Xenopus tropicalis: one gene and its partners. The protein of the gene in region 1 purifies or fractionates together with the protein of each later gene. This does not show direct contact. Links are inferred from orthologs where the notes say so. Each region holds a gene or a part of one and is shown on either strand. Other genes may lie near its edges.

Region 1 (4,104 bases):
GGGGATCCCTACATTTAAATACCAAGGAATTAAAGGAGACATATAGGATAAAGGGAAACCCCTAACCTTGTAGGCAATTAATATCCGGTGCTGGTTTCCCTTTGGGCTAAACATTAACCCTATCTGTAACAATGGCCCCTTTATTGGAGCTCCCTATAGATCCTCTCAGGTCCCTGTCTGTGTTTCATGAGGGGTGGGCGTGTCCTAACGGTCCCTGTAGGAGGGGGAGAGCCAATCACAGCCCTGCAGTCACACAAGCACAGACAGGCTTCAGTCCCCTATCAGGTCAGCCTAGCTGCTGATTGGTTCCTATCCTACAGTGCCGCCGGCCCCCCTGCACAGCCTGGGAAAGGAGGCAGCAGGAAGTGGCACAGATGGGCGGGGCTAGTGGGGTATTGCGGGAATAAATCAGCGGAAACACAATGTATTATGTAGAGGAGTATAATTCCCTGGTACGTGCCCAATGTTTATATGTCTCCTGTAAGGGCACGGTGGGCAGTCGCACACACTCTGCCCCATTGCGGCCAATGAACACTCAGCGCTAGCGACACATTGCTTGTTATGGTCGGTATGGCACTGTGGCTGTAAGTACGCTTGCCCCGGCCACTCACTGCCAATATTACTCATAGGGATAAAGGGCAACAAACCAAGGCTGGTATTTATGTCCCACAGAATGTATGTAGCCCTAATAACTGGCACATTCACTGTTAACTGACCGGTTACACCTGATAAACTGCCAGATATAAATGATTATATAATCTAGTAAGGGAGTAATAACTGATAATCACCAACCCACCAGGTTTATTAACGTGACTTTATGGGACTGACTCCCTGTATGACCCACCGATAATTCTCCTTGTTCAACCTGTTTAATATAAATGACCCCTAAAGCGACTGGGAGCTGGGGGGACACTCAGCAGCCAACACAACACACCAATCTTTATTCTTTTTATTGTACTATGAGGTACCAGCACAGGAAACAGACACTGAGAGGAGCTACGGCAACTTCCGCCCGTGTAACGTCGGCTAGCCACGCCCACAAGGCGTTACGTACTGCGTCACTGTGTTACGCGCAAAGCCAGTCTCGCGTGATGAGACTTGGAGTTTGTACCTCACGGGGGCGGGGCGACTGTGCTACAGAGTTTGCTGTGGAAGTGTAGGGAAGAACATGTGATATAGAGAGATGTGAGCAGCCAAGCTACGTCCCGGTATGGTAAGGGCTGAGAGGGAAGCAGCCCGGGGTACGTCCCGGTATGGTAAGGGCTGAGAGGGAAGCAGCCGGGGTATAGCTCAGTACTGACAGGGGGAGAGGGGGCTGTAAGCAGCCAATGGCAGGTCTCAGCATGATAGGGTAAGGGATATGTCTGTAAGCAGCCAATGGCAGGTCTCGGTATGATAGGGTAAGGGATATGTCTGTAAGTGGCCAATGGTAGGTCTCGGTATGATAGGGTAAGGGATATGTCTGTAAGCAGCCAATGGCAGGTCTCGGTATGATAGGGTAAGGGATATGTCTGTAAGCGGCCAATGGCAGGTCTCGGTATGATAGGGTAAGGGATATGTCTGTAAGCGGCCAATGGCAGGTCTCGGTATGATAGGGTAAGGGATATGTCTGTAAGCAGCCAATGGCAGGTCTCGGTATGATAGGGTAAGGAATATGTCTGTAAGTGGCCAATGGCAGGTCTCGGTATGATAGGGTAAGGGATATGTCTGTAAGTGGCCAATGGCAGGTCTCGGTATGATAGGGTAAGGGATATGTCTGTAAGTGGCCAATGGCAGGTCTCGGTATGATAGGGTAAGGGATATGTCTGTAAGCAGCCAATGGCAGGTCTCAGCATGATAGGGTAAGGGATATGTCTGTAAGTGGCCAATGGCAGGTCTCGGTATGATAGGGTAAGGGATATGTCTGTAAGCGGCCAATGGCAGGTCTCGGTATGATAGGGTAAGGGATATGTCTGTAAGCGGCCAATGGCAGGTCTCGGTATGATAGGGTAAGGGATATGTCTGTAAGTGGCCAATGGCAGGTCTCGGTATGATAGGGTAAGGGATATGTCTGTAAGCGGCCAATGGCAGGTCTCGGTATGATAGGGTAAGGGATATGTCTGTAAGCGGCCAATGGCAGGTCTCGGTATGATAGGGTAAGGGATATGTCTGTAAGCGGCCAATGGCAGGTCTCGGTATGATAGGGTAAGGGATATGTCTGTAAGTGGCCAATAGTAGGTCTCGGTATGATAGGGTAAGGGATATGTCTGTAAGCGGCCAATGGCAGGTCTCGGTATGATAGGGTAAGGGATATGTCTGTAAGTGGCCAATGGTAGGTCTCGGTATGATAGGGTAAGGGATATGTCTGTAAGTGGCCAATGGTAGGTCTCGGTATGATAGGGTAAGGGATATGTCTGTAAGTGGCCAATGGTAGGTCTCGGTATGATAGGGTAAGGGATATGTCTGTAAGTGGCCAATGGCAGGTCTCGGTATGATAGGGTAAGGGATATGTCTGTAAGCGGCCAATGGCAGGTCTCGGTATGATAGGGTAAGGGATATGTCTGTAAGCGGCCAATGGCAGGTCTCGGTATCATGGGTTCAAGAGGTATCTGTAGGCAACCCATGGCAGGTCTAGGTGCGAAGGTACAGGAGATACGTGTGTAAGCAGTGTATGTGAGGTATGATGGGGCAAGCAACCCCCAGGAGCTCTTAGTATAATAGGGTGAGAGGTATCTTTGTAATCAGGCCATGATAGGTCTTAGCAGGGTTGGTGAGAAATGTATCTGTAAGCAGCCCATGCTAGGTCTCAGTACGATGTTGGTGAGGGATATCTCTGTAAGCAGCCCATGCTAGGTCTCAGTACGATGTTGGTGAGGGACATCTCTGTAAGCAGCCCATGCTAGGTCTCAGTACGATGTTGGTGAGGGATATCTCTGTAAGCAGCCCATGCTAGGTCTCAGTACGATGTTGGTGAGGGATATCTCTGTAAGCAGCCCATGCTAGGTCTCAGTACGATGTTGGTGAGGGATATCTCTGTAAGCAGCCCATGCTAGGTCTCAGTACGATGTTGGTCAGGGATATCTCTGTAAGCAGCCCATGCTAGGTCTCAGTACGATGTTGGTCAGGGATATCTCTGTAAGCAGCCCATGCTAGGTCTCAGTACGATGTTGGTGAGGGATATCTCTGTAAGCAGCCCATGCTAGGTCTCAGTACGATGTTGGTGAGGGATATCTCTGTAAGCAGCCCATGCTAGGTCTCAGTACGATGTTGGTGAGGGATAGCTCTGTAAGCAGCCCATGCTAGGTCTCAGTACGATGTTGGTGAGGGATATCTCTGTAAGCAGCCCATGCTAGGTCTCAGTACGATGTTGGTGAGGGATATCTCTGTAAGCAGCCCATGCTAGGTATAAGTACGATGTTGGTGAGGGATATCTCTGTAAGCAGCCCATGCTAGGTATAAGTACGATGTTGGTGAGGGATATCTCTGTAAGCAGCCCATGCTAGGTCTCAGTACGATGTTGGTGAGGGATATCTCTGTAAGCAGCCCATGCTAGGTCTCAGTATGATGTTGGTGAGGGATATCTCTGTAAGCAGCCCATGCTAGGTATAAGTACGATGTTGGTGAGGGATATCTCTGTAAGCAGCCCATGCTAGGTATAAGTACGATGTTGGTGAGGGATATCTCTGTAAGCAGCCCATGCTAGGTCTCAGTACGATGTTGGTGAGGGATATCTCTGTAAGCAGCCCATGCTAGGTATAAGTATGATGTTGGTGAGGGATATCTCTGTAAAGCATCCCATGCTAGGTCTCAGTACGATGTTGGTGAGGGATATCTCTGTAAGCATCCCATGCTAGGTCTCACTACGATGTTGGTGAGGGATATCTCTGTAAGCAGCCCATGCTAGGTATAAGTACGATGTTGGTGAGGGATATCTCTGTAAGCAGCCCATGCTAGGTCTCAGTACGATGTTGGTGAGGGATATCTCTGTAAGCAGCCCATGCTAGGTTAGGGTTATAGGTTAATAGTATGTAATAATTTATTTCTTGAATTGCAGGATCATCAGAAATTCCATGTGCCTAACCTTAAACAAAAGCACTTGGCCAAGAAGGAGCTCAAATGCTAGAT
Region 2 (3,652 bases), on another chromosome or scaffold:
TCCCTCGACCATACGTGCAATGAGCGTCCAGACAGGCAGACACAGCTGTGCTTTACTTACCAGCGCATGGTCAAAGTTGTACGAACTGATGTAATAGGCACTTATGTCTGCGGCTGCCAAAGGTCCAGCAATTTGTGCAACTATTCCGCACTCATCTGCATTAATCAGATTGGAAAGTATTAGTTTTACGGGGGGCACAACAGTAATGGAGTAAGAAATATTTGTCGAGTTAAACTGGAGCCTTAATCCATTTCACAACACCACTCGAAGTAAATTTGGAGCTCCATATTTCTCTGTACAAATCAGGTAACACCTACACCAATATGAAAAAGTTGGTGAAAGTTTTTTGGATTTATTAAAGGAATACTGTCATAGGAAAACATGTTTTTTTCAAAACACATCAGTTAATAGTAATAGTTCTCCAGCAAAATCCTGCATTGAAATCCATTTTTCAAAAAGGCAAACATATTTTTTTAATATTTAATTTTGAATGGGGTTAGCCCTGTCCTTCATTTTTTAGGGTGCTACAGCCATGTGACCTGTGCTCTGCTTGAACTTTTAAAAATTGGATTTCAATGCAGGATTCTGCTGGAGAAGCTCTACTGATGAAAAAAACACGTTTTCCCATGACAGTATTCATTTAAGGTCAGTACCAGCCCTGAGTGAGGCCACAAGATGTGAAATTCACAGTGATTGTCTCAAAGAGATTTCAGTGCAACAGAAATCACATCACTGCTATAGGATTGCATCATATTGTACACTAAGGGCTACAAACCTAAATTGAAATCTGCTTATTTATTCTATTGCAGCCTTTCTAGTCTCTGTAGTGTCCAACCTTCCATAAAAAGAAGCCTTAGGCAAATACATTGTTTAAAAGCATACTGAGCACATTAGGATTGCAGGATGTGACAATTACTAAACTCTGCCATTGCCTCTTGTAAATAGACCTCTGACTAACCCATGTAGCTGGTGACCGCCTGGAGCACCACAGAATTATAGTTTACTAAGAAAAACAACAATACTTTCTAGATGTTTTGATTGGCTCGATTTTGTTATCCTAATTTACATGTATACAGCTTCTCATTTTACATAGGTCTTGTGATTACTCCACCTAGCTTTTATTCGAGAATCATTTCCTGGTTTCGTGGCAGAAAGCATAGAGCGAAATGCGACGCACATAGAAGACATGTTTAGTTAAAAAGACAGCATGCTACATAATGAAATCTGATAATATCATGGAAAAGTTTGGCCAGTTTCCATGTGATCCAGTTGCTGAGCTCACATACTGGATCTTTTTTTATGGCCTTGTCTTCTTCACAAGTTTATGCGTCAGTGGGTTACAACATGGACACTGCCATGGCCAGCCATAGGTTTAATGGCCATCAGCAGCATGACACTGTATTAAGATTTTTAGTTATTCTTTTTTTTCTATTAAGAACTCTGTCAGGAGAAATGAAAGTTCAGATAAACTCACCAAACCCAAGGGGCTGTCCACCAATTCTCACCATCCTCCAAAGTTCCCCAGATGAACTAGTTAAAAGCAAGTCAGTGGGAAATCTGCAACACAAAGAAGCAGACTGTCTGATCTCGGGGAAATCACCAGCACAGATATAATCTAAACCTGTCAATGTTTCCCTTACATAGGAGATAATAATAGTCACTACTGTGCAATTGTGAATTACTGGAATTACTGGGAAAAACAGCCCACTTGAATTAAAGCTGCTCTTATTATTACTTATACAAAATAATGTTACTTATTGATACTTTAAGGTTTATTAACAATTAAAGCAACACAACAAAGTTTAATGAAGAAGAGCCTGTCTGCTCCCCCCAGGTGATGTTATTCTAGCTCGGCCTCTGCAAAGTGGTCAGTGAGCCTATTTTATTTATTTATACAGACAAAATGGAGACGATAAAAGCATATGCTACATTTCCTTTTCTATTAGGGCTATCTGTATTCTTTTCTGGCAGAAATGTGTACAAATCTACTGCCATTTGCCATTACGTTAAGGAGAAACCCATGACAGCAGTGGTAATGGTGCTCTCAGCCCAAAAACACTCACTGGAGCAATAATTGCTAGTTTGCTGGACTATGGATATCCCTTATTGTTTGCTCTACAGGCAGAATTAAATGACTGGGATGCTGGTTTCACTGCCTGGCTAATAACTGGCCAGCTTCAAAAATCCCTAGGTCAATTACTGGATCAGCCCAATTGCAACCTTGACAAACAAGCAAATTTTTACATGTATGCCCAGCTTATAGCACATAAATAATATTCTCCCATTACTCAGGCTAGGTAGTGTAGTGTATTTTTTAGCATTTATGGAATCTATCTATTCCCCTGGATACAGATTCTATTGATGCATGTGTGTTGAGATTTACTCAATTAAAAATAGTCATTACTTTTAAGCAATAACATATAATATTTTCAACCGTGATCTATTAACATTATGCATTGTTTTCAGGTCTAAAATGTTTTGTTTCAATAGTATCCCTTTAAATTGTAATATAATGGTGATGGCTAATTTGTTAAGATAAAATTCCTAGAACTCTGCTCAGCTGTTGCTGAACTACAACTGCCAGAATCCCAATAACAACCATTATCTAAGAGTCACAGGTTGAAGAGCACTGTCTAAAGGTGGCCATACAGGGGCATATTTAAGATGCTGATTCAGGTCCTTCAGTCCGATTCAGTAGATTATCTGCCTGGGGCCTCCTGATCAATATATGTCCAAAAATTGCCCAGATGTGGATTGGGCAGGCTTGATTTTCCTGTTGGATCCTATGAAAAGATCCCTGGAACCCAAAGCTTTACATACTTCTCCTGCGTCTTCGTGTCCATGACTATTGATATATACCCGTCTATCAAGGAGAAGGCAAAAAAGTGAAAGAAGCCCAGATCCTGGGATCCTGCAGCAGTGTCTTTCTGGAAACTGCAAAGAAAATCAACAAGATGTAAGTGAGACAGTTGCTGGAAAGATCATTCCAGAGACTTCACATGAAAGATGATATATATATATATATATATATATATATATATATATATAATGTTCCATATACTAATCAGGCTAAGGTATGGCAGCAACAAGAGCACCTCTGGTAGGGTCCCTCAACACTGGAACAGACACTTACGGGTGGGAGTAGAACAGCACATCCAATAGTATGGTAGAAACAGAAGGAAGGGTATCTGGATCCATTGTCAGGATACAGAACTGGTTCTGGGGACTCTGCACAGGATGCACTGTCAGATTAAATACTGTGGGATAGGAAAAACAAGGTTGTAAAACGAGAGCAGTAAGGCAGTCCTACCTGCAGTGAACTGAATCTACCTAAAGCACTACAAGCACATGTCCTGTCCAATAAGCACTAAGCATATTATACAGAGAGTTTAACATAAACAGATCTTGTAACGAGAAACACAACGGTAATATATCCAACTTGCTTGGACAGTCCCATTCTCTTAAAGAGCTATTAGGAAGTTTTAAAGCATACTGTATAAGATACTGTACGTTCAGCATACCACATCTTATGTCTATGCTCCAGTGCATTAACCTTCTCGGCTGCTCCACACTCACATGGGGGGCAGATTTACTAAAACTCTTAACTTTTCTCATTTTAACTCTCATTTTTTTTTATTTCAGAATTCAAATA
Region 3 (3,652 bases), on another chromosome or scaffold:
CAATGATATATTTTGCCACACAATTAAAGAAAATAAGTTAGTTGCATTTGGGCAGGTTATATATAGGCATGAAGGTTGAACTTGATGGATGTGTGTCTTTTTTCAAGCTAACTTACTATGTTACTATGTAAATGAATCATTTCAAACTATATAGAGCAATAATAAGTGCTTGGGAATTCTTTGTAGCATCATCTTTAACCTCAGCAGATTTTGAAATGAGCATCACAAGTGAGACACTGGCTTCACAGTTTGAGAAAAACTGGTTAAAGCATTTTCCTGATACCTAACAAAGTTTAAAAAATTCTTTCTGACTTTCTAGGATGTGACTCTTGATCTTGTGGAGTTAACATTTAAGGACCAGTATATAGGTCGTGGAGATATGTGGAGGCTAAAAAAGAGTTTGGTAGGTTTTGGAAACATTAATAACTTTTGCAAAAGAAATTATTTCTCTATACTAACTTTACTACCTTTGCACCTCAGGTCAGCTCCTGTGCTTACATAACTCAGAAAGTGGAGTTTGCTGGAATTCGGTATGTAAACAGTACTGTAATTTGCCTCAGTAAATTAAAACATGTCATTTTTTTCTAAGCTTGTTCTTAATGGATGTTCCTGCTTCAAATATGAGCTGTTATTTGTTTATATATTTTAAGTAGTTTGACAGAAAGCAAGTTAGTACTGTATTTGATTCCCAGTTTGCTTCACTTATTTTAGCTGCCAGTATTATAAAATCATAGAAGACACAGACTTTTAATTATTTGCTTCCCTTTAGGCGAAGCTCATTGCAAAGGACTCTGTGCCACTGTACATGCAAGCATCTAGTGACCCACCCAGACAGTATTTGTAGAAGCTACTTTAGGTGCTTACTTTTTGTCTGAGGATACAAGTAAGCAATGACCCATTTCAGGTAGTTACTGCATAGTGAATCCAGCACTCCAGATTAAAGTGGAAAAGGTGTTTTTATTTGACTTAATCACCTAACCCAGCAGGACAGTGTATCCTAGGTTTCCTGTTGGTTACTTGGGGTCCTAGAGACTGGTGTATTTTGTTAGTGGAAGCTAAAATTTAAGTAACACCACATTTTGATGAAAATACAAGTTTTGGCAATACAACCTAAAGGGGAACTCCACCCAAACATAATTTAAGCTTAATTTCAAGCAACTTTGTATTATACATTAATTATAAAATATGCAGCCTTTTCATGATTTTAATGTAATAATATGGTTTGAACAGCTACCTAAGCCTATCTCTCTGTTCTCCTGCTGATCTGGCTGACTACTTTGAGACTCAAAAAAAATGCAACAGTAGTTGATTGTCCTCAGCCTGCCTTCAGTCTAATCCTCCAAATCTCTGCACATTTGATGTTAGTAAGAAAAATTGCATTGCAAAGCATTGTGGATTATGAAGTTCCTGCATGGTGTCTGTAAGCTGTGGAGAAGTTGTTACAGTTTGTAACATCACTGTTTTAGTCCCTCCTACCCATGCAGGATTTTAAATGATGCAGAAAGAGAAGAACTATTTTGCAGTTGTATTTTAGCATATAAAAATGGTATTTATTCACACTTTTTGAAGAAACAAATTACAGGGATAGGTCAATTGGGGGTTTCTTTGTTGTGTGGGGCTTTTTTTCAAATTTTGGTTCGGAAGCCAGAGTTCCCTTTTAAACTCATAATCAATTGCCTTAAGTATTTCTATCACTCAGTTTCTAATTAAAAAGTGCTTGGTAATGAATATGATTTTTGTTTAGCCCTCATCTGTGGTGAATGACCCTATTATATGTTGGCATGCTTAATGTTTTTATTTATTTTATAATCTATTATAAGTGACACAATCCTATGGGCAAAATAGTCGCTCTTCTGAGAACTTTTCCAAGATATTGGGGTGAATCAGGATATCTAGGACATGTCTCGACAGAGTTCACATGCTGACATATAATAAAATTGTGTAAATACTTTGAAGTCAAAGGTAAATGTCAGAGCTTTCTTTCTTAACATATGCAGCACAGGATTCTCGCTGGAAGAATTCTTCCAGCCACTCTGGTGTGTTGGATGTGGTACACTGTATAAATATTTTTGCAGCTCAGTAAGGCATATTGGTTATTAAAGGAGAAGGAAAGTCAAAATCTATTAAGCACACTATTGAATAGTACTACTATTGCTATGTAAAAATGCTATAATTCTGGCTTGCCTAATGAAAGATTTACAGAGAATGCCCTGCTACATTCTACATTTTTCAGTGAATGGCGCCGCCATCTTTAACAAAGGAGGCCCCCCCTCCCCCTGCGTCCTTCTGTGTCTCCCCCCCAGCAGCTGCGTCCTTATGTGTAACCACCGCCGGTTTGTGTGCTCCAATTGTCAGCTTGTGTGCTCCTCTTGTCAGCACCCCCCCCCCCCGGTGGCGCTTAGATCCTCGTACAGGCTTCTAACGTTACTTGCAGTGAACAGCGCCACCATCGCTTTGTTTGTTCACTTGATCTACCCGGCACCCTTCTTGCCTCTCCCCCTACCTGCCGCTGTGTCTCATGTTCATTCTGCCGCTGTGTCTCATGTTCATTCTGCCGCTGTGTCTCATACTCATGCTGCTGCTGTGTAAGTGCTGGGGTTGCCATGCCAACCAGACGCTAGGGGGAGCCTCTTGTTTGTGCGCATGCGCCGCCTATAGTCCCGAGTCTCCAAGTCTGGGGAAGAGGGATGCATTATGGGAATCTTCTCTACCCAGCTCAGCGTTTTTTCTAACTGTTTGGCTTCTGATCCTCTGAACGGGAGAAATATGGGGAGACTTAAGGGCACTATTGAGAGAACTGAAGGTATGCCTGCATTTTAATATTAACTCTTTAATAGTATGTTTTTTTACAGATGTCTACATTAAGTGGCCCTACATGGCTACTTTTTGTCAGCATGATCACCTAAACATTCATTGCAGCTTGGGGTTCATTTTCAACACGCCATGCTGTAATCTAGTAATTGCAGTCACTTTCTCCAAACTATAAACCTATTCTGCCTGTGTCTCTTCTTAGCAGGTGGATAGGTCATCAGCAGATGCAGAAGTGAGAGGAGCTGTAGCTCCTATCAGACTTTAAACAATTGTATTTACCTGCACGCAGTTATAGCCCTATACCTTTTTTTGCTATCCATTTGATGTTTACCTTTGAAGCAAATATTTTTGCTATAGAACAGACCTCCTAAGTATTGTCCCACATAGGTACATGAGAGATGTTATTTGCACCTCCTTTCCTTCAATTTGTTATTTTACAACTTCTGGTTGCCGAAGTGTTTTCAGCATGCAGCTGACACCTGGCTAAATGAGGGATATAGGTTTCAGATCACTGCTAATGTGGAGATTCTTATTCTGGAAATGTTAGTGGGTCTATAGTCTTTGGGTAGTTTATATTCCTTGATCAACACCTGTTTTTTTTGTCTCTTATTGCACTTGCTTGGCTTTCGTTTTTCTAACCATTGCTTACACTGTCGTTACTGTTGGATCTCTGGTTAGCATACTTCTATATATTCAGTTTGTTAGGCAGAGCGGCAAAGTGAAAAATGAACATGAGGAGCATGGACTTTTTGCAGGAAAGTCATGGAAGTTTCCCTCTTGCCAACCCTTTCTCCTATTTTATACATTACTGGTCCAAGCCCACTAGTATTTTTCTGTCTTT

What was found. Proteins that work in one complex are often made in the same cells at the same time.
Region 2: the proteins of wdr24 (region 1) and castor1 purify together in Homo sapiens (affinity purification with mass spectrometry; 3 studies listed by BioGRID and IntAct, counting the BioPlex papers as one, with this or other methods). This does not show direct contact. The link is inferred for Xenopus tropicalis from reciprocal best matches to the Homo sapiens genes WDR24 and CASTOR1.
Region 3: the proteins of wdr24 (region 1) and depdc5 purify together in Homo sapiens (affinity purification with western blotting; 4 studies listed by BioGRID and IntAct, with this or other methods). This does not show direct contact. The link is inferred for Xenopus tropicalis from reciprocal best matches to the Homo sapiens genes WDR24 and DEPDC5.

What each region holds. Positions count from the first base shown.
Region 1 is NC_030685.2:93,057-97,160, reverse strand, and holds the start of wdr24 (WD repeat-containing protein 24), read left to right. Parts: upstream 1-1,154; 5' UTR 1,155-1,213; intron 1,214-4,033; 5' UTR 4,034-4,104. UniProt on the Homo sapiens protein: Catalytic component of the GATOR2 complex, a multiprotein complex that acts as an activator of the amino acid-sensing branch of the mTORC1 signaling pathway. The GATOR2 complex indirectly activates mTORC1 through the inhibition of the GATOR1 subcomplex.
Region 2 is NC_030677.2:144,424,987-144,428,638, reverse strand, and holds part of castor1 (GATS-like protein 3), read right to left. Parts: intron 3,258-3,652; coding exon 3,134-3,257; intron 2,935-3,133; coding exon 2,821-2,934; intron 1,558-2,820; coding exon 1,475-1,557; intron 156-1,474; coding exon 61-155; intron 1-60. UniProt on the Homo sapiens protein: Functions as an intracellular arginine sensor within the amino acid-sensing branch of the TORC1 signaling pathway. As a homodimer or a heterodimer with CASTOR2, binds and inhibits the GATOR subcomplex GATOR2 and thereby mTORC1.
Region 3 is NC_030677.2:152,202,188-152,205,839, forward strand, and holds part of depdc5 (GATOR complex protein DEPDC5), read left to right. Parts: intron 1-319; coding exon 320-403; intron 404-480; coding exon 481-530; intron 531-3,652. UniProt on the Homo sapiens protein: As a component of the GATOR1 complex functions as an inhibitor of the amino acid-sensing branch of the mTORC1 pathway.